Linked DNA regions of Anolis sagrei. The protein of the gene in region 4 interacts with the protein of the main gene of each other region in a pairwise test. Links are inferred from orthologs where the notes say so. Each region holds a gene or a part of one and is shown on either strand. Other genes may lie near its edges.

Region 1 (7,444 bases), on a different chromosome or scaffold from region 4:
TTGATGACTGAATCCATGGATAAGGAAGGATAACTGTGCTTTGAGCAAAGACTCGAGTTTATGAAAAACTGACTTGAATGACATCATTTTGTACTCTGGACAAGAACAACACATTGGCTCTGTCTCCCATCCTTTCCTATACTCATTAGACAATTTTACCAAAGCCTGCCTTTCATAACTCAGAAGATTATCTGGATGTGTGCTTTCCAGGTTTGTATTCATTTGTGTTCTTTGGGCTTTACTATCATAGTTGTAAGGCAAGTAGTTGGCAGTTGTTGCCTATTTGGTCCTATTTATACACATCATTTTTGCTACACATATAAAAGGAAAATACTATGTGAGGCAAGAAATCCCAGCAGAGTGGATAATTCAGTTTCCTTGATATGAAATTTACTTTCTCCATTATTGACTCATGAAATTTATGGGGAAGATTAGATTAAAATACAGGGGAATCTGAAATTGAAGAACTAACATTGACTGAACTTTGAATTGTATTGTTCATAAGCAAGCACAATGCCATAGACAAAATTCCCAGAAATAAACAATGGTTCTCTAACCTTTCTCCTCAAAAACCTTTCTTCTCCTACATTTGTTCTTCCAACTTCAGCTGACCTTTGCTCTCTTGCTAAACAAACACACATTCCTTGCCCTAACTGGTTATTTTTAATTGGACACGTCACACTGACTGGCTTGCTTTCTCCTCCCCTGACCCCAAGCTGTGATTTAGCAAGAGAACTGATCAGGCGGGCAGCAGAAAACCTGCCAGTTTATATATCCTCCTCTAACCCAAAGCAGAAAGCAAAACATCCTTACATGTTTGATGGGTGGAGAGAAGCAATCGCAGAGGGAGGGATAAAGTCGGATTGTCTCCACTTGGGTTTCCGAAACTGTTCAGAAGACCCAATGAGAGTTACTTCCTGTTGTTCTATTTTTCCACATTTCCCCCTCCCTCCGTTCCCCTATGTGAGCTTCTTCGCAAGATGCTACTAAGGAAGGAATACACAAATACACACACATTACCAAGGAGTGTGTGTATACACAAATATGCTACTAAGATATATATATATATATACACACATACACACACACACTCACAAATATATGCTACTAAGAAAGGAATACAGATATACACACACTCACAAAAATATGCTAAGAAAGGAATACAAATATACACACACTTACAAATATATGCTAAGAAAGGAATATAAATATATATACACACAAATAAGTGCTACTAGGAAAGGAATACAGATAAACACATTCACAAATATGTGCTACTAAGGATTGTATACACACACAGACAAAGAAAGGAACACTGCACACACACATATGCTACTAATAAACATGAATATATTCACACGCACACATATGATTAAGACAGGAATATCATATATACAGTATATACCAGGCATGGGCAAACTTTGGCCCTCCAGGCATTTTGGACTTCAAAACATTTATGGGAATTATGGGAGCTGAAGTCCAAATCAGCTGGAGGGCCAAAGTTTGTATATACTCATCTATCTATCATCTATATACTACTGGTATATACTCATCTATCTATCTATGATAGTAAGGAATATGTTATACAGTATACAAACATATATATGTATGTATATATATGTATGTATGTATGTATATATAAACACACATATATGCTACTAAGATATAGACATAGATACACAATACACAAACACACAGAGAATATATACTAAGATATAGATATATAAACACATACACAGGATACATATATATATTTATATATATAAACACACACACAAACTTGTATATGCTTATTAAAGGGGAGGAAATAACCGCAGAGATTAACGCCACAGATCCCACCCCATTTCTCTTTCATACCCTATTAAGACCAGAGGCAGAAGGATCTGGTTTAACGCGAAAGGGGAATAACAATAATCCCAGGCCTAGTTTCCTAGAGAACAGGCCAGATTGCTCAAAATCCCACCCGAGGCCGAGGAAGGAGGCAGGAAGGCCCAAAATGGAAGAGGGGATCCGTGTGAGAAGGGGGGGGGGGGTGACTATTGTCCTCCGAAGGAGAGAAGGAGAGGGAGGGGGAAACTGCTATGTATTGAAGAAGAAAGGGAGGGGGCAGCATTGTTGGAAATCGGGGTGCACGCGCGGGGGGGGGGAGAGGGGAGCGCGCCCTCCCTCCCTCCCTCCTTCCGGGGCCTGGTCCCGGGCCTGCTCCTGGGCCTTGGGCTGGCTGCTCACCTTTGTAGTGGACGCGCAGGTTGTTCTGCGAGAGGCCGATGTAGCTGAACTTGTCCTTGGGGCTCCAGGAGCGGGGCAGCGGCGTCTCCCCCTCGTCCACGGCCGGGTAGAGGCGCTTGAGGCGGCGCTGGAGCTCCTTCTCCTGCTCGTTCAGGGCCGGGTCCCCGACGCTAACGCCAACGCCGCCGCCGCCGCCGTGAGGGAAGGCGGACGGGGCCCCGCTCCCGGCTGCCATGGAGGCGGAAGACGAGGAGGCCGAAGAAGGAGGCGGCGGCGGGGCCGAGGTGGCGGGCGGAGGTGGCGGCGGCGGGTGAAGCAGCAGCGGGGACGGGCCTGTGTGGGCCGGCGCTTGAGGTGGCGGCGGAGGAGGCGGCGGGGGAGGAGGAGGAGGGGGAGCCGTGGCCGGTGGCGGAGGCTGCTGCTGCTGCTGCTGTTGTTGTTGCCCGGACATGCCGGCCTCGTCCGCCCTCGACGGCAAGGGGAGGAAAGGGTGTCTACACGGAGAACAGCCCGAAACCGGAGTGACAGTCTGAGGGGGGAGAAGAGGAGGAGGAGGAGTCGCGGCTGCCTCGGCTGACGGAAAGCAACTGAGCTCGCGCGAGGACGAGGAAGAAGGGGTTGGAAGTGACGAAAGGCGGGGAGGATGACGTCGGCGGTGACGACATGAGCTGGCGGCGCGAGGGAACGGGCGCGCGAGTGAGTGAGTTAGTGAGTGAGGGCGCGCGCACCCACCCTCGAGACGAACGCGGCTCCGCTCGAGCTGAGGGGAAAGAAGGCTGCTGTCTCTGCTGCTGCTGGTAGGTAGGACAGTGCTATTACGCGCGCGCACACGCAGGCGCGGTGACGTCGGCGCGGTCCTGGAAAGTGGAGAGAGGGCGGGTGCGCGCTTTAGTCAATGAGAAAAAGCAAAGAAGTGTGCAAACTTGGCCCCACTTGTAAAACTTCTGAAAACGACACAAGCCTCATCTCATTCAGAATATATATATATATGTATGTGTGTACATACATATATATGTGTGTAGGTTTGTGTGTGTGCAATATATATATTCTCATTCAGAATATATGTGTGTGTATACTGTATATTTTCATTCAGAAATGTGTATGTATACTGTATATATATTCTTTATATTCTGTATATATAAACACCTTTGCAGAAGCATACGAGAAACTCGACCTGTCATTGAACATTAAGAAAACCAAAGTGCTGTTCGAGCAGACACCAACCAATTATTATTATTATTATTAAACTTTATTTGTACCCCGCTAGCATCTCCCGAAGGACTCGATGCGGCATACAAAGGCCAAGGCCTCAACACAACAACAGCATAACAAATACAACTCAAAGCAAATCAAAAACATAAAGCAATAACAACAAAACGTTACACCATAACACAGTAAAAACTAGGGCCAGGCCAAGTAATGGGTACAGATTAAAAAGTGCTGGGTGTGACAGGTGGTATGTTGGATTTCAGGACAAGTGCAATGTGCAGAGAATCTTACAACTGTAATAAAGTGCTTCAGGGACATAATGCTGGAGTTTTCCTATTCCAGAAATAGCACTGATGGAATCGTTCCAGGAGTTGCATGTGACGTCTGTAGACAGTCCACGTCACCAGCCAACCCCTCTCCAATGCCAGAGATACAGCTTAGAAAATGTTGACCATTTCCGCTACCTTGGCAGCCACCTCTCCACCAAAGTCAACATCGACACCGAAATACAACACCGCCTGAGCTCTGCGAGTGCAGCATTTTTCCAAATGAAGCAGAGAGTGTTTGAGGACCGGGACATCCGTAGGGATACCAAGGGGCTTGTTTATAAAGCTGTTGTCCTCCCAACCCTGCTATATGCCTGCAAGACGTGGACTGTCTACAGATGTCACATGTAACTCCTGGAATGATTCCATCAGCTCTGTCTCTGAAAAATCCTGCAAATCTCTTGTGAAGACAAGCGGACAAACATCCGCGTGCTGGAAGAAGCAAAGACCACCAGCATTGAAGCGATGGTCCTCCACTGGACCGGCCACGTTGTCCGGATGCCCGACCACCGTCTCCCAAAGCAGCTGCTCTACTCCGAACTCAAGAACGGAAAACAGAATGTTTGTGGACAAGAAAAGAGATTTTAAGATGGGCTCAAAGCCAACCTTAAAAACTGTGGCATAGACACTGAGAACTGGGAAGCCCTGGCCCTTGAGCGCTCCAGCTGGAGGTCAGCTGTGACCAGCAGTGCTGCAGAATTTGAAGAGGCATGAATGGAGGGTGAAAGAGAGAAACGTACCAAGAGGAAGATGTGTCACGCCAACCCTGACCGAGACCGCCTTCCACCTGGAAACCAATGCCCTCACTGTGGGAAAAGATGCAGGTCAAGAATAGGGCTCCACAGTCACCTACGGATCCACAAGAATACTGATCCTGGAAGACTATCCTACTCGCCCAATGACAGGTCACCTAAATAAGTAAGTATATATTCTGAATGAGAAGAGACTTGTGTTGTTTGCAAAAATTTTGCAACAAGTGGGGCTGAGTTTGCATATCTCTTTGCTTTTTCTCATTTATATGTACATATATGTATGTGTGTACATGAAGATATATATATGTGTGTGTGTGTACATATATGGAGCCCCTGGTGGCACAGTGGGTTAAACTTGCTGACCAAAAGGTCAGCGGTTCAAATCTGAGTAGCAGTGTGAGCTCCTGCTATGAACCACAACTTCTGCCAACCTAGCAGTTGGAAAACATGCAAATATGAGTAGGTCAATAGGTACTGCTCCGTCGAGAAGGTAACGGTGCTCCAAGCAGTCATGCTGGCCACATGACCTTGGAGGTGTCTACGGACAACATCGGCTCTTCGACTTAGAAATGGAGATTAGCACCACCCTCTAGTGTCGGACATGACTAGACTTAATGTCAGGGAAAAACCTTTACCTTTACCTATGTATGTATGTGTATATACACACACACACATATGCATACACACAGGCAGTCCCCAAGTTACAAACATCTGGCTTATAAACAACTCACAGTTAAGAACAGGGCCAAGACAACAGGAAGTGAGAGAAATCTGTCCCCAGAAAGGGAAATTCACTCCTGGAAGAGCTATTATCATGGTAGAAATGTGTCTCTACTGAAGCTTTCTCACGCATCCTTATTTCTACAAAGCCACATTTTTCAAAATCCAACTATTCCAGGGGCAGAAAGTGAGGTGAAATTTTCTGAACAGGGACACAGGCAACAAAACAAGCACCACAGGGACGTCAACCCTTCACTATTCTATCCAAACTAAACAATATGTATATTTGGCTGGAATTACACTTTAAAATGTACCTGTTCTGATTTACATACAAATTCAGCTTAAGAACAAACCTACAGAACCTATCTTGTTCGTAATTTGGGGACTACCTGTACACAAAATATGTGTGTGTGTATATCATAGAATACATATATACATACAGAATGGGAAAATGCATGCATGCACACTGTCATTCCTCCACATTTGCAATTTTGACTTTTGCGGAGTTGGTTATTCAATTCATGCATCAGATTAAAAACTATCTCCCTGGGAATCTCTTCTTTATTCATGGGTTTTCCCTTTCACGTGAGGCCTGTGGCCTTAACCCCAGCAAATGTGGAGGCCTGGCTGTATAGACAGATCCTGAATGAAGTGAAGAAGGGTTTTTTTTCCACTTAAGCTTATAACATTCCTCCACTTGAAACCTTGAGACAATACAGTAGGCTTCAGTTACAATGTCAGTAATAGGTAGGGAAAACTTGTCCTTCTGCTGATTTACCACCAACTGGTATTTCAAATAACATATAGTACAGTATGTTGTCCTATATTGGTGCAAAATAGGACTCTGCTCACTCTTTTGCCATTAGAGGCAGCACAGGGGAGAGCATACCATTTTACATGTTTTCTCTCTCTCCCTGAACATGAAAATATCACTAGTACAAAAGTAACACAGTGTGATGAGGTCCTAAAACAAACTTAATTTAACACAGTTTTACTGTATTATAAAAACCGCTTTTTATTATTTAAAATAATATTTATTTGATTTTTTTCACCAGTTAACTGAGGCCCCCTCTACACTGCCATATAATTCAAGTTATCAAAGCAAATAATCCACATTATCTGCTTTGCGCTGGATTGTATGAGTCTACACCACCATATAATCCAGTTCAAAGCAGATAATCTGGCAGTGTAGAAGGGGTCTGAGAGTTCATTGTAGAGTTCAATCAGGGGGGAGATAGGATTGGGTTCTTACACAGTTTAACTGTTTGTTTTTAATATAATTGATTTTTTTCTATTTTAATACCATTAATATTTTATTCTATTTTAATGTTTGTATATTTTTACATTTTAAATTGTATTGCAATGGTTTTACTGTAAACCAGTTTGAATAATAAATAATAATCTATATAAATAAAAATGTGATGTTTGTTTGGGATTAACATAACTCAAAAACCACTGGACGGATTGACACAAAATTTGGACACTACACCCCTACCAAACCAACGAGTGACCATCACTCATAAACCTCTCCCAAAAAAACAGCAGAAAGGACCTAAAAACCCCAAAAAAGTAAATGACAATACAACGCATGCGTGTCAATGACAACTCCCAGCATCCCAAGTCCTTTAGGAGAGGAGGGTGCACCAAATGCACTGCTTCCAAGCTACAAACTTGCTTCTCCTTGGATTTCTTTGAGAGTATTCCAATCCATACATATTTCCTATTTCCTATTCCTGGACTGCAACTCTCAGCAATCCTCCAGATAAATAAGATATATATATTAGATATAGATAGTAGGCAGACAGATGAATCAGGTTCAGGAGGATTGCTGGGAGTTACAGTCCAAGAATAGGTAGAGAAGGAAGGAGAGAAAGAAAAAAGGAAGGGGAAGGAAAGAAAGAGTTAGAGAAGGAAGGAAGGAAGGAAGGAAGGAAGGAAGGAAGGAGAGATGGAAAGAGAGAGGGAAGGAAGGAAGGCGAGAAAGAGAGAGAGAGAGAAAGAGGGAGGGAAGATTGGTCACAGCAATTTGTGGTGGGTACAGCTAGTCTTATATAAATAAAAATGTAATGTTTGTTTGTGGGATTAATATAACTCAAAAACCACTAGATGAATTTGGACCAAATTTGGACACAATTCGCCTATCAGGCCAATGTGTGACCATCACTCATAAAAACACTGAAAAACACAGCAGAAGGGACTTAAAAAGCT
Region 2 (7,401 bases), on a different chromosome or scaffold from region 4:
AACTTTATTTATATGTGTAACATTCTAAGACCCAACCTATTTTAGAGATGTTTATGGGGGGGGGGGGGGGACACTAAGAATTTAAGAAATCCAGTATGATCAGCTATGAAATAAAAATAAGTTCTACCAACAAACCTTCAAACCCCTACATTTACCACATGATAACATACAAAGTAATAGTCTGCTTACTGTTTAATCTGGAAAGCACTTCACATATTTTGTCTCAGGAAGTTCTGGCAATTACAATTCAAAAGATATGGAGTGTGAAATAGACTCCTGAAAGATAACTGTTTGCTAGCACATGATTGCACCTTTGCACTGCTAACTAATAAAGTGTATTTATTCATTTTGTTCCCTGTAAGGCCAAGCCCAGAAGAGCATGTGAACCTTTAGACACTATTAGACATTACTCAAACCAGAACTCATTCCTGTATATATACGTTCCAGGTTTATTATATTAAATAAATGAGACATTATCATTCTAAGTATCTATGTCCTACACATCAGCTGTCCTTTTAACCTCCAGCATGACCTCTATGCTTCCTTCCTCGTTCTATTAGCCTCTTCGAAATTTGCATCAATTGTAAGGTATACATGCACAAGAACAGGCTCAGAGCTGAAAATTTATATTAACTTCTCCAAATCATTCAGAGTTTCTAGATTTTGCACTCTGGGCCTGTTCTTATTATTCAAATCTATTAATAAAACAATAGGTTGTTCGAATGCATTTCAGTCCAATACACATAAATGCCTCAGATGGCCAACACCTAAGCATTCAAGCAAGATAACTTCCTGTAATGCCCATAATAAAAGTAAAGAACAGCTTATTGCATCATCTGGGCCTCCCTATCCACATTACTATGAATGAAAAAGGCACCGTTTGAAAAATCTGTCTAGTCAGTTTTATCACTAGGATGAACTCTGTTTACACAGGCATAACTACAAAGATGATTAAAAGTAACCTTGTGTCCCAAAAAGCATTCTCGTTCAGCAACAGTGGCACCTTTCAAATTATTTTAATAGGGAACACATTATTTGCAAAGAATTAAGCCAGGTCAATGGAAAGCACCTCAGGCAGGCACAAAATAAGACACGTAGCAAACAGGAGTCGTATCAGATATATATCTGGGGGGGGGGGGGGGGGACACCTGCCTATATCAGTGGTTCTCAACCTGTGGGCCTTGATATTCTGGGATATAGGGCTGTGTGGAAGGCTCCCCTGTTGTCTCACTCCTTTATGAGTTGGATGTTTGAAAATAAGGGACTGTCTGTATGTTTGTGTGTGTGTACACATACATGCATAAATATATATGCACATACTTATTTTGTGTCATTATATATAGATTGGGGGGGGGGGGTCCACACAGCCATATAACCGAGAATATCAAGGCAGATAATCCATAATATCTGCTTTGAACTGGGTTATTTTTGGATCCTTCCACACAGCTGAATAAAATCCTAGTTATGTTTTGAACTGGGATATATGGCAGAGTGGGCTCAGGGCCCTTCCAGATAGCCATATAACCCTGAATATCAAGGCATAAAATCCCACTATATCTGCTTTGCACTGGGGGCCCTGGGTCATCTGAGTCCACACTGCCATATATGCCAAATCAAAGCAGATAGTGTGGGATTTCCTGCCTTGATATTCTTGGATATAGGGTTGTTTCAAAGGGCCTTGGGTTATCTGAGTCCACACTACCATATATTCCAATTAAAGATGATAGTGTGGGATTTTCTGCCTTGATATTTTTGGATATAGGGCTGTGTGAAAGGGCCCTAGGTTATCTGAGTCCACGCTGCCATATATTCCAATTCAAAGCAGATAATGTGGGATTTTATTCAGCTGTGTGGAAGGGGGCGGAGGTATTCCAGGCCCTTTCCCACAAAGCTGAATAAAATCCCACATTTCCAGCTCTGAATTGGAATATATGACAGTCTGGACTCAGATCATCCAGTTCAAAGAAGATGTTGTGGGATTTTATTCAGCTTTGTGGAAGGGGCCAGAGAGAGAGAGATGTCCTATTTTGTGTCATAGATGCGCACACCCATACATAGAGAGAGATACATCTTATGAAGCAGCAGAGCAGGAAAGATGGGTGCAAGAAGGCAGAACTGCAAAAACAAGCAAGGAGTATGGACAGGGGAGGAGGAGGTCTGGAGGGTTACTCCGAGGGCACTTCCACACAGCCTTATATCCCAAGGCAGAAAATCCCACAATATTTGCTTTGAACTGGGTTGTCTGAGTCCACACTCAGGTAATGTGGGATTTTCTGTCTTAATATTCTGGGATATAGGGCTGTGTGGAAGGGCCCAGAGTCTACATTCAGATAATGTGGGGTTTTCTGCCTTGATATTCTGGGATATGGGGCTGTGTGGAAGGGCCCCGAGAAGGGGGAAAGGACGTAAGGGCGCGGGGCCTGTCCTGAAGGGGAGTGGGCAGTGCTGAGGGGGAGGGAGGGAGGGTTGTTGTTGTTGTTGCGGCCACCTGGGAAGGAGGGGGAGGGCGCTGCCCCCAACGAGGCGCCCCCAACTCTTTCCTGAGGCGGCGAGGGGGCCTGCTCGGCCGGTGAAGGAGGAGGAGGAGGTAGAAGAAGGGGGCGCAAGGCGGGAGACGAGGCTCCTTCCCAACGGGGGCTCAGGAAGGACAAAAGCCTCAGGGAGAGGGAAAGAGATAGAGAGAGCGAGGGAGACTGGGGCCTGGGCGGAGGAGGTGGCGGGGAGGGCAGAAGGGCCTGCCGGGCGAGGGGCTCGCTCACCTCAGGAGGCGCCGCCACCGCGGGGCCTGCATGGCGGGCGTGCGGGCGGGCGGGCAGGCAGGGAGAGAGGAGGGTGCCGAGCAGGGAAGGCCAGCTCCGCTCGGGCCCAGGCTCCTCCGGCTCCTCCGGCTCCCGCTCGGGCCCTGGCTCCGTTCCGCTCCACTCCACTGGGCGGGCAAGCAAGCGAGCTCCTCCTCGGTGGCCCGCTCCTCGGCTGACTCCTCGCGAAGCCGCCTCAGCCCGGAGACACGAGCGCCCCCTGGCGGGACCCGGAGGCAGAGCACGGCACTGCGGCACCAGCGCCCAGGCAGGCAGGCAGGAGGCGGGACTCCCTCCGCAGGGCGCCAGGGGCGACTCCGCCTGGTCATGCTCCATTTTCTCCTCCTCCTCCTCCTCCTCCTCCTCCTCCTCCTCCTCCTCCTCTTTTGCCGCCTTCTCCTCTTCCTTTTCCTTCCCCCCTCTCTCCTCCTCCTTATCCTTCCTTCCTTATCATCTTTTCCTTCTTCTCTTCTTCCTTTTCCTTCTCCCATCTCTCCTCCTCTTATCCTTCCTTCTCTTCTCCTCCCCTCTCTCCTCCTGTTCCTTACCCTTCTTTCTTCTCTTCTTTTCCTTCCTCTCCTCTTCCTTTTCCTTCTCCCCTCTCCTCCTCCTTATCCTTCCTTCTTCTCTTCTTTTCCTTCTTCTCTTCTTCCTTTTCCTTCTCCCCTCTCTCCTCCTCCTTATCCTTCCTTCTTCTCTTCTTTTCATCCTTCTCATCTTCCTTTTCCTTCGCCCCTCTCTCCTCCTGTTCCTTACCCTTCCTTCTCTTCTTTTTCTTTTTCTCCTCTTCCTTTTCCTTCTCCCCTCTCTCCTCCTGTTCCTTATCCTTCCTTCTCTTCTTTTTCTTCTCCTTCTCCTTCTCCTCTCTCTCCTCCTTCTCCTCCTCATCCTTCCTTCTTCTTTTCCTTTTTCCCCTCTTCCTTTCCCTTCTCCCCTCTCTCCTTCTCCTCATCATTCCTTCTTCTCTTCTTTTCCTTCCTCTCTTCCTCTTCTCCTCCGTCCTCTTCTCTCCCTCTTCCTTCTCCTCCTTTCTATTCTCTTCCTTTTCTTTCTTATCCTCATCCATTTCTTTCTCCTCTTTCTCCACTTCCTAACGCCTTCCTCTTCACCTCTTCCTTTTCCTTCTTCTGCCACTTCCCTTCCTTTTTTCTCCTCATCCCCTTTTCTTCTTTCCTCCCCCTCTTCCCCTGCCCTCTTTCCTTTTCCTCCTTTCTCTTCTCTTCCTTTTTCTTCTTATCCATCTTGCGTCCAAATTTGTTGTCAATCTGCCCAGTGGTTTTTGAGTTACATTAATCCCACAAACGAACATTATTTTTATTTATATAGATGGATCCCACTTTATTTGTAAGCTTGTTCAGACCAAATTAATGCTTTAAAAAGGGGGGTGGATATAAGGATTTTAGAGATGCTAAGGTGGGGCATGACCTCCCCTCCCCCCCCCCCCCCAAAAAAGGTTGGGAACTACTGCTCTAGGCTCTCCAATGCAATTCTGTGGTCAGTTTCCAGTGGAAGTTGGCCATTGCATTGAATCATTCTGAAAGACCGACCTAGCCATGAGTGCTCTGCATTGCTATGAGTTTTCTGCGCTGTATGGCCATGTTCCAGAAACATTCTCTCCTGACATTTTGCCCACACCTATGGCAGGCATCCTCAGAGGTTGTGGGGTCTCTTGGAAACTAGGCAAGTGAGGTTTATATATCTGTAGAATGTCCAGAGTGGGAGAAAGAACCCGTCTGCTTGAAGCATGTGTGAATGCTGCAATTGGCCACCTTGATTAGCATTGAATGGCATTGCAACTTCAAAGCCTGGCTCCCTCCCACCTGGAAGGGCCAGCTAGCACCTCCCAACAAAGGATTTCCAGACGCAGGAAGCAGCCAGGCTTTGATGCTGCAAGACCATTCATTCCAGAAGCATTCAGGAGAGAATGCTTCTGGAACATGACCATACAGCCCAGAAAACACAGCAACCCAGTGATTCCTGCCATGAAAGCTTTTGACAACACAATGTATACTCTCATGTTTTAAAAAAGTATCAGATTCTGAATTCAGGGTTTTTCACTTTCCTTGTGGTCCTGTACCCCTAACCCCAGCAAATATGGAGGGCTGATTTTAATACTAAATATTAACTAAAGCACAATAAGAATCTGGCACAAAAACATACGCAATCAAAGGGTAATAAAATAGGTTTTTGTACAGTCGATAAAAATATAGGTTGTGCATCCATTATCCAGATTTCTGAAATCCTCCAGAATCCTAAATTGTTTGCATGGGTGACAAAATGGTTCACAAAATTTATTTTATGCACAACATTAAAAATGCTGTGCATAAAATTACTTTCAGGCTATGTGTTAAATATTAAATACTGTATATATTAACTTCTTGTTTAGACTTGGTTCCTATCTCCAAGATATCTCATTAAGTATCTATATGCAAATAAATGCATTTCTAAATAAAAACAATACATGAACTCCAAAACACTTCTGGTCCCAAGCATTTCAGATAAGGAATATTCAGCCTATATGGACTTTAATCAGGAAGGTTATATCTTTAAAAAAAACATAAGGATTTCTTGAAACAACTATATACCTAGATTAAAAGGGGGGGGCAGGGTAAAGTTAATACAGTTGCCTTTTAGTTATATGCTAATACAGACACTTATTTGCTGGTGTCAATTGGCTTTGATTTATGGCAACTGTATAAATACAATTCCCCCAAAAGACTGGTCATCATCAGCTCTGCTTTGGTCTTGGAAGGTCAAGGCTGTGGCTTCCTGGATTAACTCAATCTGTGTGTAATACCATCTTCTTCTTTTTCCTTTTTCTTTCCACTGTACTGAGCATTAATATCATTTACACTTAGTCACGTCATCTCATTAAATTTCCAAAGTACGGTTTCCTCAGATTAGTCATTTTGGCTTCTTGTAAGAGTTCAAGTTAGATTTGCTCTTGGACTCATTTATTAGTCTTTTTGGCATGTGACTCTGGTATTTAATCATGTATCTTTTTCCACTTGAATATCTTTTTTTCCTTTACAGCTGCTTTCTGGTTCCTCGATGCATGGGTGAACCAAGATATAGAAAATCTTTAGCCATTTAAATGTCTTAATTATGCACTATATTAACAATAAATTATTGTGTTTGGAGTAATGTATACCTAACTGCTCCATCAATGGCCAAGGTAGATATGAGCATGAAGCTATATATTCATAAAAATATGCATTGTTGCCATCATTGTCAATTGTCCAGCACATCCTTTGAGTCTATGGCACCCAGAAAACTCTGCTTTTGATCAAAAAATCACTTTCAAATACATTTTTAAATACTTCTCGTTCAATTTAGAGTCCCATCACACCTCAGGAAATTGCTTGATTAAATTGTCTCTTGTTATTCCTAGCCTAGTGGCTACTCACATTAATACAAAGCATCTTGTTGTGCTTTTTGAGACTAGAATTCCTAGCATACCTTTTAATAGACTAAGTCTTTTTATTTAGATTCATCTAAGAATACTTATGCTACCAACTTGACTCTCAGTTAGCCTCTATGACAAGATTTGATATTCCAGACTAATTCAGCTATATCTTTGAATTATACCCACACTAATGTTTCCAACTAAACTACGTTAGAGCTTTCCAAACATTTCATGTTGGTGACTTACTTTTTAGACCTGGACCATTTAGCGACACAGTAATTCAGTTTTATTAGCAAACCAGAGGTTAAACTAACTCCTTATAAGGGATACTAATACATACATAAACTGTAATAACTAAAAGCATGGGTACATAAGGTATCCTATTTAAACCTTTCATATCATATAGACTCAGAGGTTTCTCATTACGTGTTATTGAAGTCTGGGTTGCTGTGAGTTTTCCAGGCTGTATGGCCATATTCCAGAAACATTATCTCCTGACGTTTCACCCACGTTTATGGCAGGCATCCTCAGAGGTTGTGAAGTTTGTTGGAAACTAGGCAAGTGAGGTTTATATATTTGTGGAATGTCTCTTCTTTGTTTGAGGCAAGTGGGAATGTTGCAATTGGCCAGCTTCATTGGCATTGAATAGCCTTGCAGCTTCAAAGCCTGGCTACCTTCTGCCTGGCGAAATTCTTTGTTGGGAGGTGTTCCAACAAACCTCACAAACGCTGAGGATGCTTGCCATAGAAGTGGGTGAAACATCAGGAGAGAATGCTTCTGAAACATGGCCATACACAGCAACCCAGTTTCGCATTACGTTCGTGCAACACACCTACATACTGTAGTTGACACACAAATGCATCACAGCACACAGGTCTGCTTTACATAAAAATAAATCAGTTCCCATATTATGCCTGGCTACAGAACATAACATGTGACACCATACAGTTTAGAGAGAAAGTTCTTGGTATCAGACCATCTGTAATGTGTCTTCCTCTTTTTCTTTTGCCTTCCACTTTACTGAGCATTAATATCGTTTTCAGTTAGTCATATCATCTCATTGTATTTCCAAAGTATGGTATGGAAATGAGTCATGTTGGCTTCTTGTGAGAGCTCAAGCTAGATTTGCTCTTGGACTCATTGGTTTCTCGTGCAGCAGGAAAACAAACTTAGAAGGAACTCTGACTGGGAGCATTG
Region 3 (6,990 bases), on a different chromosome or scaffold from region 4:
AGACCCACAGGATAATAGAGTTGGAAGGACCTACCAGCTATTAGGACTTATGGAGTTGAAGTCCAAAACACCTGGAGAGCTGAAGTTTCCCCATGCCAGCTCTAGCCCACCCTCCTGCCATACAGCAATACACCACCAAAGCACTCTTGAAAGATACCCATCAACTTCTGTTTAAAGAAATCCAAAGAAGGAGGGTCTGTTGACCTATGATGAAATCATTTCCTTTGTTGAACAGCTCACAAAAAAGGGTCTTCCAAATGTTTCAATACGACTTAGATGAAGGGTTAGAAGGCAGGATCATCAAGCTTGCAGACGACACCAAATTGGGAGGGATAGCCAATACTCCAGAGGACAGGAGCAGGATTCAAAACAATCTTGACAGATTAGAGAGATGGGCCAAAACTAACAAAATGAAGTTCAACAGTGACAAATGCAAGATACTCCACTTAGATACTCCACTAAATAGGAAGTGAAAGAAATCTACCCCAGGAAGAGAAATTCACTCCTGAAAGTATTCTCATGGAGAAAAGGTGTCTCAGCTGAAGGTTTCTCTCCTATCCTTGTTTCCACAACAAGCCAAATGTTTCAAAATCTGATTATTGCAGAGACAGAAAGTTTCGTGAAATTTGGGCACAGGCAACAAAACAAACACCACATATATGTCTGGAGTTACACTGAAAAATGTATCTGCTCTGACATACATACAAATTCAAATTAGTAACAAACCTACAGAACCTATGTTGTTTGTAACTTGGGAACTGCCTGTATGCCATTTGGTCAGGCCTCTTGATGCTGCATAACAGTTTACAAGGAAGTAATTGTAAAACAAATGAATGACAAATTAATAAACGTACAGCCATAAAACCCTGTAATGTATGTTGACAGTTTGTCAGAATTTCCAGTGATGAGTGAATATATAAAAAAGGTGGACTGAGATAAAATACATTTATAATTGCAGAAATGCCAAACACTGTAAGCCTCTTGTGGTTCTTCTCAGCTGAAGGTAGCTGTCACTTCTGCAAATGAGGTAGAGAAAAGAATAGGACCATTTATTACAAGAATTACAAGTTCCTTTCCTTCTTACTTCATGTCATGCTGCATCCACCCTACTGGGAGCCTGCCTCCGCCCACAGGCTCCCAGTTACTTTGTATCCAACTTTTCCTTACCCAAGAGAAGCTCCTCAATGCAACGCCAACTGATTATATTACAATCATTATTGTGAGCACATGTGTGCATATATCATATATGTGTACATTTTGTGTGGACACAATGGGCTCTAGGGCTAAATGTATCCTTTCCAACCTTCAGCCCATCCAGACTTCTCAACTGTCCTTTTACTTGTCATTAAAAAGGGAATATTGCTTTTCCTAGAGGTTTCCAGGATTAGCAATTTACTTTTTAAATAGCTTATACTCCACCCTTCCCTGTTAAACTATTTAACTTTAATATGTATATTTATATCTAAACCAGAAGGAGCTCCAGCCACATTCAGATTTCTGAGTGAGGGCACTTTTATTGGTTCATGTGGCTCCAGAGGACCCTAGGGACAGAAGTTATAACATTATAACATTAATTAATTTAAAATGTTTATATTAGACCCTTCTCATCCCACAGCAGACTCAGGGTGGAGCACAATATACAGAAAAATTTAATGCTGGGACATAAACTATTAATATACATAAACATTAACATCAGTTATATCGACTTTAAAATCAACTGTTTAAAACCATCTCAGGACACGATTCTATTATTGCCTCATTGAACTGCCCAAAGGCTTGGTCACCATCCTTGTAAAGGACAGGAGGGAGGGGGCTTATCTAATATTGCCAGGAAGGGAGTTCCATAGCCGGGGGCAATCACTGAGAAGGCCCTGCCTCTCATCCCCACCAAAGGCACCTGTGACGGTGGCAGGACCGAAAGCAGGGACTCCCCAGAAGACTTTGTCTTTGTGGTAGTTCATAAAGGGGGATGTGTTTGGACAGGTAAACTGGGCCAGGGACGTTTAAGGCTTTATAGGCCAAAGCCAATACTTTGAATTGCGCCCAGTAGTAAACAGGCAGCCAGTGGAGCTGACATAACATGGGAGTTGTATGCTCCCTGTATACTGCCCCAGTTATTAACCTGGCTGCCTCCCATTGGACTATTTGAAGCTTCCGAATAATCTTCAAAGGCAACCCCACATAGAGTGCATTGTAGTAGTCTATCCTGGATGTAACGAGAGCATGGACCTCCGTGGCCACATCTGATTTCCCAAGGTACAGGCGCAGCTGGTGCACAAGTTTTAATTGTGCAAAAGCTCCCCTAGCCACCTCCGCAACCTGAGATTCCAGGCTCAGCAATGTGCCCTCCAGGAAGACTTCCAAGCTGTGAGCCTGTGTCTTCAAGGGGAGTGTTACCCCATCCAGCACATATACCCTGTTCAGCCTTGCAACTGACCAGGAGGACCTCTATCTTGTGTTCATTCAACTTCAATTTGTTCACCCTCATCCAGACCGTCACTGCAGCCAGGCACCGATTCACAACCTGGACAGCCTCCTTAGAAACCGGTGGAAAGGAGTATACCGCTGGCGTCGAATTCCAAAACTCCAAATGATCTCACCCAATGGCTTCATGTAGATGTTAAACAACATGGGAGACAATACTGAGCCCTGCGGAACCCCACAGGACAATGGCTGCGGGGCCGAGCAGGTTTCCCCCAAAAACACCTTCTGGATATGATCCTCCAGGTAGGACTGAAGCCACTGCAGAGGACTACCCCCAAGGCCCATCCTTGCAAGGTGACCCAGAAGGATACCATGGTCTATGATATTGAAGGCCGCTGAGAGGTCCAAGAGAAGCAACAGGGACACACTCCCCTGTCAAGCGCTCTGCAGAGATCATCCACTAAGGCGACCATGGCTGTCTCAATTCCATGACCCGGTCTGCGACGGATCCAGATAGTCAGTTTCGTCCAAGAACCCCTAGAGCTGCAAGGCAACCACACGTTCCAAGACTTTGCCCAAAAAGGGGAGGTTGGAGACTGGTCAAAAGTTGTTCAAAGCAGTGGAATCCAGTGAAGGTTTTTTCAACAGAGGTTTTATCACAGCTTCTTTTAAGTTCACTGGAATTTTGCCTTCCCAAAGGGAGGCATTAACCACCACCTTTACCCACTCTGCCAACCCCCACCCCCAGGCTTCCTTTATCAGCTAGGATAGACGGGTCCAGGATGCACGTGGTCACTCTCACCTCTCCAATAATCTTGTCAACATACACCTATACATATAGGCTGAGTGGACAGGGCAGGAGAAGTCCACTTCATCAAGATTTCAGTTGAAGGCAATGCTTTCCTAAAGTAGTTGTCCACAACAATAAAAACTGTCCCTTAGGGGAGCATTAAAAAAACTCCTATACCATCCTACTGGAATTCTAGATTATTAGAGAAGCCCACAAGTATCACCGAGGTATAATATGCTGGCTCTTTTACCAGTACTATGCTTGCCAATTTAGGCTCTTATTTTAGATTTCTCATGTTTTGTATTCTGCAGTGAAAATGTTGCAAAGAAACTTTTTAAACACTGTGACTTAATCCTATATAAACACAGCCATCCCACAAAAAGTCAATTACATCTCATGTTTTGCTCTGCCTTGGTACAGTACAGATCTGTATATATCTACTCAGAAGTAAGTCCCTTTGAATTTCAGTGGGGCTCACTCCCAGGGAAACCAGTACTGGACTACAATCTTAACCCCCCACAACTGCATTCCTTGTGTACTTCATGTTTTTCTTTGCCTTTGTGTGCAGACTCTCCATGGTTTTGTTTTCTCACCCTTCTACACACCTCCTCCTTGGTTCCTAAAACAGATTGGCTTCATAAAAAAAAGGCTGAGCCAATTTATTGATCAAAGTTGCACTGGTACAAAGCCAGATTAGCTCAAGCATTTTTTTTCCTCCAGGAGAAAAATGCACCAACGGTTTCCTCTTTCTTAGTTAATAATTCTGTTTCCCTGTTCTCACTTGCCTGAAGTATATGTAGGAGTCACAGGCTGGCAAGCTATGAGTTAACAAGGCAGCATGTGTTAAGTTGAGCTAAGTGAGTAATGCACCTAGTTAAAGTTTTCAATGCGGCTGCAATTTGGAGAGTGAGAAAAGGGGAAAGCAACACCAGGAGCAGTTATTCCGTGAGCTGAACTCGTTTTGAAGGGGTCATGAACACAAGGTCAGTGGTACTGCCAAAAATTAGTAGACTTTCTTCCTTTCTTCCTTTTCTTCACAGTTTCCTCCTTCAAATGGAAGCCATACTCTGCGAAAAGCTTTAGCACTTATAGCTTATGACTCTTCCCAGTAGTGTGTAACTTGTTCAGTGGCCGGCTAATGATTTGAAGTGTTATATAACGCAAGATTTTTCAAGGTTTAGGATATAGAAGGACAGGAGCACCATTTGGCAGAACTGATCTGAGTATGTTTTCCTGATTTTGAATACACAGGCACCTTGGTGTAATATGGGATGGTGCAGGTTTTCCGCAGGCCATGACTTGAATTCAGGATTAAGTATCTGTTTCACTTTAGCTTGCAAACTGTCGGAAAGGTGCTAAACAGGTTGAGTTGCTTTTAGGCAGTGGGAGGGTTTTCCCCCCTTCTTTTGGACGATCAAAGCAAGCTACAATACTGCCAGTCCCTGAAATCAAGAAATGCTGTCTGAACTTCCAGGTACGCCAAAGCAATGTTTGCCATCAAAGTGACTTGCAAATGAGAAAATATAGAAAATTCAGCAATGCTTTTTAAGATAATGCGAAACATTGTGGGTGGTTCTCAGAGAGTATGTGTAAGCGATGCCTGATTTAGAAAAGGAGAATAAAAAGGGTAGAGTGTGTTAAGCCATGTGTGTCAGTGGAACACCTTCTTTCTTTATCTGGTGTGCACATTTTACTGTTTTCACTGGATGTTTATTTTGGGGGGTGCATTGTTTTAAGGTAGAATGATCCTTCATCAGTACACCCATGGAAGATTGTATTGCTCTGGGAGAATCACATCATGGAAAAAATTAATTTCTCTTGTTTTTAATCTTTAGTCAATGAAACATGGGTCTTTCCTGACACTCATTAGGCAACAATTCTGCTCACTGGCATTTATTTGCAAATTATTATTTTTCTGCTAAATTTGGTTGTGTGGGGTTGTCAGGGAATACATGGTGCAAATTGGATCATGAAACATTGCTACAAAATGTAGGTGGCATACATTTCATAACACTGAAGTTGTCAGGTTCTGCAATTTCCCCCTCTCTCTTCTTTTTCTTCACACAGGATGTTGATTTTCAGATTCAAAAATTACATGAATCCACAAGGTTCATGGTGAAATATTCCTGAGCAACTGTCCTTTACTCCAATAAACATTATGTGGATTTTTCCAGCTCTCCATTTAACATTAAAATAATAGTGTAACAACTGCCCTAATATGGGCGATTTAGCTTTATTTGACATGTTGGAGTGCCCGTTGTGCTTGGGGAAGCTGGATATTTCAGCCAAGGTGCTCCCCTGCCAACACACTTTCTGCAAGCCTTGCCTCCAGAGAATCCTGAAATTACACAAGGAGTTGAGATGCCCAGAATGCCGAGCCCCTGTCCTCTGCAGAATCGAAGAGCTTCCTGCCAACTTGTTTTTGATCCGCTTATTGGATGAAATCAGACTTGGATCAAATGTCATGAAGTATGGCTCACTTCAAAGATATGGGACTCTCTCCTCTCCCTCTTCCCTCAGGAGAGTCCGGGGAGAGCCAAGAGCTTTGCAACTCCACCAATATGGGCTGACTTCCAATCCCAGGATCCCTATAGAAGGGGTAAGAATCTTCCCTTTCTCTTATCATTATCTCAGTTAGTAGATTTGTAGGCCATTTTTCATTGTAAGGGTGTTGGATAGATTCAGTTTATGCCAAAGCTGGTTGCCTTCCTTCTAAGCTACCGAGTTATCTTAACTGGATCTCTGCAGCAACTTCGTTTTTAGGTGTAAATTTATTCTGACTGGAACAATTTCAAGCTAAGAGCCTGGTTCCCATGTTTTCAAGGGATTGCTCTCTCCAGCTGAGCCTGAAATTGTACAGAGGCTTTTCAAAGTGACGTTAGAGTCCCTTCTATTTCCAGTCTTAGATTAAACCAGGGAATGGAAAAAATGTTTAGATGTGGGAGAGAAAAACAACTTTCACACCTGTCGAGGATACAGAAAGGTTTGATTTTTCACAGAACCTTTTTGAAAATAATGATTTATTCTGTCCTGTTACAACATGAGCATGGGGGAGGGGGAGTCTTTGATCCTTTTAAAGGGATGTGGCAGGATCTGAGTATGGATAAAAAGTAGGTCAGCTGTGCCCTAGATTCTCTTGTTCCTAGTCATACCAACACTTTTCTCTGGGGTCTTACACAGAAAGCTCCTAGCAAGTTCCACCCCCTCCACACATATTTGACTTTGCACATATTTTGGGGGATCAAGTGTGTTGATTTGGCTCTTGGCATAGGTGGAGGATTCAGTCTATAAGAGCGAAAGCCTCCGGGGTTTTATACCTTTGACTCTGAATGCTTCTTAATATGGTTTTGCAAAAGCATGACTTTGCAGGAAGCTCTTTGAAACTAATTATGCCTTATATAAGTATACTCCTAGGGAAAGCAGATGCATTTTTAGAGTTCTGATTCAGGTTTCCTTCATCGGTGGCTATTTGTTGTGAGACATCCCTGTAAAGAAAAAAGGCATTTGAAGGAAATCTCAGTTGTGAAAAAGACACCAGTAAGGATAGGTTTAGGCAAGCTTGTTCCTACTTAATTCTGTGTGGTATCATCTTTGATTGTAATTTGTTGGAGCAGCACCCTAGATAAACAGCCACAGCAAGTTGTAATTGGGGAAAACAACCCAGTGTCTTCCACACACACCCCATACTTGTCAAACTTGAAATTATCTGTAACCTAGATCAATCGCATACTAAGTGCCTATCACTAGAGTTTCACCCATCTTCTCATATCTACATT
Region 4 (7,519 bases):
ATTCAAATTGCAGGAAAAGGTATTCCACCTAAATAAACATCAGGAAGAGCTTCCTGGCGGTAATAGTGGAATATGCTGCAACCTGAGGGTGTGGCGGAGTTTCCTTCTCTAGGGGTTTTTCAGCATTGGGTGGATGGCCATCTGTCAGGAGTGTTTTGATTGTGTTTTTTTTTCCTGCAGGCAGAAGAAGCATGAACTGGATGGCTCAGAAAGCACCATAAAATAAATTAAGTCAATCAATTAATTAATTAATTAACTTTAGATGTTAACTAGTTACCATGTTAACTATATTTTTTGAAGCAACTTCCTATTATTAATGGCAATTTTAGTTAAGTTTAAAGAACACCTGAATATTATAGGCAGCTACTCTATGGCACAGAAGGCTATCTTACTTTCTTTTCATAGAATCATAGAGTTGGAAGAAACCTCATGGGCCACCCAGTCCAACCCCCTGCCAAGAAGCAGGAAAATTGCATTCAAAACACCCCCGACAGATGGCCATCCACCCTCTGTTTAAAAGCCTCCGAAAATGGAGCCTTCACCACACTCTGCGGCAGAGAGTTCCACTGCTGAACGGCTCTCACAGTCAGGAAGTTCTTCCTAATGTTCAGGTGGAATCTCCTTTCCTGTAGTTTGAAGCCATTGTTCCGCGTCCTAGTCTCCAAGGAAGCAGAAAACAAGCTTGCTCCCTCCTCCCTATGACTTCGCCTCACAAATTTATCCATGGCTCTCATCATATCTCCTATCAGGCTTCTCTTCTGCAAGCTAAACATGCCCAGCTCTTTAAGCCGCTCTTCATAGGGTTTGTTCTCCAGACCCTTGATCACTTTAGTCGCCCTCCTCTCTTCCATTCTTCCTGTGAAGCCCTCCTGGAGTGCAAACTTGTCCGGGGGGGGGGGCGCTTTGGCTAGGGGCAGCCCCCTTAAAGGGGCCCCTGGCTGGAGGACAGAGGGAGTGTACCCGCCCACTTCCGGCTCGCCTTAAGGCTTGGGGACCCTGGGGATCTCACCAGGCCTTTGGGCTTCTCTGCCAAAGAGGGCGACTGCCGCCTCGCCAAACTGCGACTCCTTAACACTCCAAAGCATTGGTTAAGCTGGGGCCACACCGCATGCACTCCTCTGTGTAGATGCACCCATTCCCATAGATGCGTAATACGCAGCAGCCCCTTCTTCCCCAGAGCCATGATGTTTCCCTAAGCGATGAAGAGGGCCGCCTCCACGCCCAAATCCCCCCAAACCGCCTCTGCTTTCTGTGCCTAAAGGTGGGAGTCTTAAAGGAAGCTTCACCCATACTCAAAACTCTCCTCGCCCTCCCCCCAAAATGGATGCATCGATCTACATTGTAGAATGAATCCAGTTTGATCCCACTTTTAACTGCAGTGGCTCTGGAATCCTAGGACTGGTCGTGCCGCGAGGCACTCCTTGGCAGAGGAAGCTGAGAAAGGCCTTTTGCAAGCGACGACTCCCAGAATTCCAAACCATTGCGCCATGGGCGGTTAAAGCGGGGTCAAACTGCGTTAACCCTGCAGTGCAGAGGCACAACAACAAGGAGAATGTCTGCCTCCGCCTCTCCCCCTTTTGGGGCACATTCAGGGGGCGGATGAAGCTGATAAATATGGCCTTTTCAAGCGAGGACTCCCAAGATTCCAAACCACTGAGCCCTGGTCGGCTAAAGCGGGATCAAATTGCGTTAACCCTGCAGTGTAGAGGCACCACAACAAGGGGAATGTCTGCCCCCGCCTCTCCACCTTTGGGGGCCCATTCAGGGGGCGGATGAAGCTGATAAATATGGCCTTTTCAAGCGAGAACTCCTAGGATTCCAAACCACTGAGCCCTGAGCGGTTAAAGCGAGGTCAAACTGCGTTAACCCTGCAGTGTAGAGGCACCACAACAAGGGGAATGTGTGCCCCCCCCTCCACCTTTTGGGGCCCATTCAGGGGGCGGATGAAGCTGATAAATATGGCCTTTTCCAAGCGAGGACTCCCAGGATTCCAAACCACTGAGCCTTGAGCGGTTAAAGGGGGGTCAAACTGCATTAACCCTGCAGTATAGACACACCGCAACAAAGGGGAACGTCTGTCTCCCTTTCTCCTTCTTTTGGAAGAGGATGAGGCGCCCTTTTCGTTTCCCTTTGGCCTGGAAAACTCCCCCAATCCGAGGCCCCAAATACACTTATCACACTTGAGAATGAATCCACTTAAAATCCGGTTTCTGGCTCCTGCAGAATTCTAGAGTTTGTAGTTTAGTGAGGCTGTTAAAAGCTCCTCCCTAAACTACAAACCCCAGAATTCTGCAGGAAGCAGAAACCGGGTTCAATGTGGATTCATTCTCTAGTGTGATGAGGTCTTGAGTGGCGTTTCAAACCGGTATGGAAGAAAGTGTAGAGACACGACTCCATAGGAGGAAAATCCTGGAACCAGTTTGACTGCCCGCCATGGGGAAGAAGACAGGAAAGAAGGAAGGAAGGAAGGCACAACCCAATGGAAAGAAGAGACCGCGCACCAAAGTATGGGCTTCCTACAAGAGAGAGAGAGAGAGAGAGAGAGACAGACAGACAGACAGACCCAAAGGGACTGGTGTGTGTGTGTGTGCGCGCGCAGGAAGGGCTTCCTTTCTCTCGCGGGTGGGAGCTTGTTCCCAGGCCGCCGCAGTTGGAAAGCGAGCTTGGATCCGCATTAAATATCCAGTGGAGACGGGGCTTTGGGGGAGGGACAAGGCGGCTGCTCAGTGCTCACCTTCCAAGAGGCGCCCGATGATGGAGTCCAGGTTGAGCTTCTCGCCGTCCGACATGGCGGGAGAGGAGCGTCTCGGGGCTGAGACTGAGCCTTCCTTCCTGCCTTCTTTCTTTCCTTCCTTGCTGCTGTTTCCTGGGAAAGAGGGAGCGGCCGGGGAAAAGGCAAGGGCAAAGCTTTCCGTCCGCGCCTCCTTCTCGCCGAAGAGCCTCCGCAGCCGAAGCGAGGGAAGAAGGAAGAGAAGGAAGAGAAGGAGGGAGGAAGTGGAAAGGAGTGACGCTGCTGCTCTTGCTCCTGCTGCTCCTACTCTGCCAACCACCTCCTCCTACTGGCTGGAGGGAGCAAGGCTTTCCTGCGATTGCGCCAGCATTCTCTCTCTCCGCTTCCTCCCAACACAAGGAAACAGAGACACAGGCAAACCTGGGCCCTCCAGGTGTTTTGGAATTCAACTCCCAGCCTTCCTCACAGCCTCAGGCCCTTTCCTTAAGCGGCTGGGGGGGGGGGGGGGGAAGGGCCTGAGGCTGTGAGGAAGGCTGGGAGTTGAAGTCCAAAACACCTGGAGGGCCAAAATTTACCTGCGCCTGATCTACACGGTGTAAAGAAATATAGGACCAGGCTGAGCACCACACCTGGCCCTGGGCCAGAAGGTTGCCAGCCCCATTTTGGAATGTGTTTTCAACCTGGATAGAGATGATTCACTCTGTGTGTCATTCAGAAACCATGTGGTTGTTGCAGGGCGCCTTTGAGTCAGCTGATGGGGACCCTAAGGCAAACCCATCATAGGAGTCATAGGAGTTGTGGTTTTGCAAGGTCTTCTGCTGTCTCTGCCTCACCAAACTCCCACCATTCCATAGCATGGCGGCATGGCGGTTAAAGTGGTGCCAAACTGCGTTCATTCTACAGAGTAGATAAGTTGTTCTCAACCTTCCTAATGCCCTGGCCCCTCAATACACTTCCTGATGTTGTGGTGACCCTCAACCATAACATTATTTTTATTGCGAATAATAATAATAATAATAATAATAATAATAATTGTTGTTCATTCGTTCAGTCGTCTCCGACTCTTCGTGACCTCATGGACCAGCCCACGCCAGAGCTCCCTGTCGGCCGTCACCACCCCCAGCTCCTTCAAGGTCAGTCCAGTCACTTCAAGGATGCCATCCATCCATCTTGCCCTTGGTCGGCCCCTCTTTCTTTTGCCTTCCACTTTCCCCAGCATCATTGTCTTCTCTAGGCTTTGCTGTCTCCTCATGATAATAATAATAAACATTTATACCCCGCCACCATCTCCCCAAAGGGGACTCGGAGAGGCTTACATGGGACCCAGCCCGAACAAAAATTACAATATAACAATACAAATTGCAATCAAATAAACAACATAACAGTAAAATATAAAACATCAAAGCATATAAAACAATATACACAAAACATAGGAACTAAGCATAATGACAGACAAACAAAGGGCGGGTCGCATGTACATAAAATGATTTAAAAACTCCGGGTGAGATAAGGGGGCAGAACTAATTGTAAGGGTGAACTCAGAGAGAGATAGGAAATTAAGCCAACATTCGTAGGGGGGGGGGGGGGGGACTCCTGAGATAAGAACATTGGAGGAGCGCTAGCATAAAATTATATGGCTACTCTTCAAAAGCGCAACGGCAGAGCCAGATCTTAAGACTTTTTTTAAAGTTTCCAAGGTAGGGGCTTTCCTAATCTCTCCGGGCAGTGAATTCCAGAGCCACAGAGGAGAAGGCTCTCTCCCTTGTACCCACAAGGCGAGTCTGAGAGACTGGCAAGGGCAAAAGGGGGCCTTGCCCAAGCATGAAGCCGGGGGGGGGGGGGGGCTTGAGGGGCTTCAGCCCCCCCCCCCCCCGAAATTCTCATGGTGGTTCGCAAAAAGGTGCATTATTTAAACTGTTATGTTTATTCATATCATTATCTGATCATCATGCTCAATATATCCCATATACATGGGGGTATTGGGGTAACGATACAAAAGGTTTGCTAGGGTAGACCCTCTTTCACTCAGATTCAGCCCCGCCCCCCGAAACAAACTCAGCTCCCCCCCCCCCCCCGAATCGAAATCCTGGATACGGGCCTGGCCTTGCCCGAAGATCAAAGCGTACATAATACACTTCCTGATGTTGTGTTGACCCTCAACCATAACATTATTTTCATTGCTACTTCATAACTAATTTTGCTACTGTTATGAATCTATATAAATAAAAATGTAATGTTTGTTTGTGGGATTAACAGAACTCAAAAACCACTGCACGAATTGACACCACATTTGGACACAAGACACCTAACAACCCAATGTAGGTCCTTCACCCAAAAAAATTTGATTTTGTCATTTGGGCGTTGTAGTTGCTGGGGTTTATAGTAGCATCTTGAGACTGAGAGAAAAAGATGTTATTATCAGCTTTCATAGCCCAAATATATGTAGTAGATGTAGCTTTTTAAGGTTATGCTTCCATTGTCTTTCAGTCTCAAAGGTGCTAAGATATCTGTTTGCAAAGGGATATCTGGCTGATTCAGATGGGGTTTTTGATTGTTTCATGAAGTCTCCTTTTTCTGTCGTTGATTGCAGTTTTGTTGTTGTATTTGTTCTATTTACCAAGAAAATATAGTCCAAAATATAGTCCAAAACAGAAGGAAGGAAGAAGGGCAGAGGGCTAGATAGAAATCTAATGAGTAAATAATACCTACACCAAGGTCGTGCTCCAGAAGGATGATACAGAGTGCAGCTTGTGCCGATGGGAAGAGATGGGAAGAGATGACACCATCTACCTGTTGATTCTTCCCCAGCACCTGTGAACTCAGAGACAACATCTGGTGGGGTCTCCTTGTGTGCAACCCCTTCTGGAAAGCATTGTGGGTAGTTATCCTGTGTTTTCTTTTTGGGGAGTTGTTTTCTGCTCTCTTCCACTGTGTCATGCTCCCCACCCCCTTTGCTTTCTTTACTACTACCGTCCCTTGCATCAGGAAATGGTTGCGGGAGGAAATGGCTTGCAGAGCGTGTGGGGAACTCAGTCACAGCAGCAGCAACAAGGGGCATAGTCATGGGTGCAAGGTATTGCTCGGCTCAGAGGTGATGCCCAGGCCTCAGCAGGTGGCATGAAATAAAGGACCTGTCAGCAGTAGGGTCTACAAGTAAGATTTGAAGGGGAATATGTCGGACCCCTCTCTTTCAGCAGAGCTTCCTGAGGACAATGTAAACCAAGCTTTGGCTGGACTACCAGATGCTTTTGATTTCTCCCTGCGGGACGATGCCAGCTCCCTGGGCTCTGACTCTGAGCTGAATGGGATGCCTCCTTATCGCCAGACAGATCGCTTTGGCTTTATTGGGGGCAGCAGCCTCCAAAATGGGTAAGAGAGAAACTTGGGGAAATTAATATTTTGGACTACATTTCCCAGATTTGGAAAGTTGTGGTCCAAGCTCTGGGGGCCTCTATTGCTCCCCCCCCCCCACCACCACCACTCTCAGTTTCCATGGGCTTCTATTGCAAAGACTATTGGGATGGGAGGAGTGTGTGGCTATGATGTGCACAAGACATAGCACTTGAGACGAAAAAGCTAGTGAATATTCTCCCTGCTACAGGTTGATTGTATAGTTCAGACATGGGCAAACTTCACCCCTCCAGGTGTTTTGGATTTCAACTCCTACAATTCGTAACAGCCTACCAGCCATTAGGAATTATAGAAGTTGAACTCCAAAACACCTGGAGGGCCAAAGTTTGTCCATGCCTGGTATAGTTGCATCCATCTTCTGTTTTTGGAACTGACAATGACTTAAGAAAGAGTTAGTTCTTCCATTAGAGTTCTTCAATGACTGTCCCTAATGAGATTTCATCCAAACAATTTAGACTATAACATCCATAAACTCCAGCCAGCAAGTTGGTGGTCAGTGATAATAAGATTGGGACCCAAAACAATTGCAGGATATATGGTAGACCTGACCTTGTGCTTAACCAAAGCCACGTTTCTAATAGAGATGCCAGCTTTATAACGGTTTTTATAATGATAACGTTAGGAAAGAGGGGTGCTAAAAAGAAGTGACACAACCCATAGACTTCATATATTAAGCTCCAGGAATTGCTTTAGGACTGTGTTAACTTTACATCTTTGTTTTTTAAATGTTAAGTTGGATTTGACTGGCAATTCTACAAATCAGAACCCTTCAAGACACTTTGTCATTATTAGCTCTGCACAAGTCCTGCAAACTCAGGACTTATTTAACGAAGGGTGCATATACACTGCAGAATGAATGCAATTTGATGCCACTTTAATAGCCATGGCTCAATGCTACGGATTCCTGGCATTCGTTGTTTGGTGAGGGACCAGCATTATTTGGCAGAGAAGGTTAAAGACCTTCTCAAACTACAGTTCCCTTTACTCCATAGCACTGAGCCTTGGCAGTTACTTCATCACATCTGAAGATCTTATCTAATTCTTCGTGGTTATCCTCCCAAGACCTACTGTTCATAAAAGAAATAAGTGAAAACTAGTCAGTGAAGCATTTTCACATATAGACTCAAAAGTCAGAAATGTGACAGATAAAGATTTATTGCTTGACAGAATTCATATTTTCTTGTCACAATAGCGTTCAATGATTCAAGTAGCTGTAGGAAGGAACATTCTGGTTCTGTGAAAAGCCTGTCCCTCCCTTTCTCATTTGAATATAACTCTTTTGGGTTTTCTGTACCCTTGGATATAGTATAATACAAGAACTTTTGCAGCAGCATTACGTGTGTGTGCATGCACACACACACACACACACACACATTC

What was found.
Region 1: the proteins of PPP1CA (region 4) and RANBP9 interact in a two-hybrid assay, tested with the Homo sapiens proteins (2 studies listed by BioGRID and IntAct). The link is inferred for Anolis sagrei from reciprocal best matches to the Homo sapiens genes PPP1CA and RANBP9.
Region 2: the proteins of PPP1CA (region 4) and ZFYVE9 interact in binary tests that used the Homo sapiens proteins (3 or more experiments, as listed by UniProt). The link is inferred for Anolis sagrei from reciprocal best matches to the Homo sapiens genes PPP1CA and ZFYVE9.
Region 3: the proteins of PPP1CA (region 4) and SH3RF2 interact in binary tests that used the Homo sapiens proteins (3 or more experiments, as listed by UniProt). The link is inferred for Anolis sagrei from reciprocal best matches to the Homo sapiens genes PPP1CA and SH3RF2.

What each region holds. Positions count from the first base shown.
Region 1 is NC_090024.1:80,067,050-80,074,493, forward strand, and holds the start of RANBP9 (ran-binding protein 9), read right to left. Parts: upstream 3,009-7,444; 5' UTR 2,681-3,008; coding exon 2,230-2,680; intron 1-2,229. UniProt on the Homo sapiens protein: May act as scaffolding protein, and as adapter protein to couple membrane receptors to intracellular signaling pathways. Acts as a mediator of cell spreading and actin cytoskeleton rearrangement.
Region 2 is NC_090024.1:173,922,574-173,929,974, forward strand, and holds the start of ZFYVE9 (zinc finger FYVE domain-containing protein 9), read right to left. Parts: upstream 3,003-7,401; 5' UTR 2,760-3,002; intron 1-2,759. UniProt on the Homo sapiens protein: Early endosomal protein that functions to recruit SMAD2/SMAD3 to intracellular membranes and to the TGF-beta receptor.
Region 3 is NC_090022.1:97,525,852-97,532,841, forward strand, and holds the start of SH3RF2 (E3 ubiquitin-protein ligase SH3RF2), read left to right. Parts: upstream 1-3,974; 5' UTR 3,975-4,197; intron 4,198-4,581; exon of another isoform or gene 4,582-4,688; intron 4,689-5,281; 5' UTR 5,282-5,432; coding exon 5,433-5,813; intron 5,814-6,990. UniProt on the Homo sapiens protein: Has E3 ubiquitin-protein ligase activity. Acts as an anti-apoptotic regulator of the JNK pathway by ubiquitinating and promoting the degradation of SH3RF1, a scaffold protein that is required for pro-apoptotic JNK activation.
Region 4 is NC_090021.1:232,682,148-232,689,666, reverse strand, and holds the start of PPP1CA (serine/threonine-protein phosphatase PP1-alpha catalytic subunit), read right to left. Parts: upstream 3,014-7,519; 5' UTR 2,790-3,013; coding exon 2,735-2,789; intron 1-2,734. UniProt on the Homo sapiens protein: Protein phosphatase that associates with over 200 regulatory proteins to form highly specific holoenzymes which dephosphorylate hundreds of biological targets.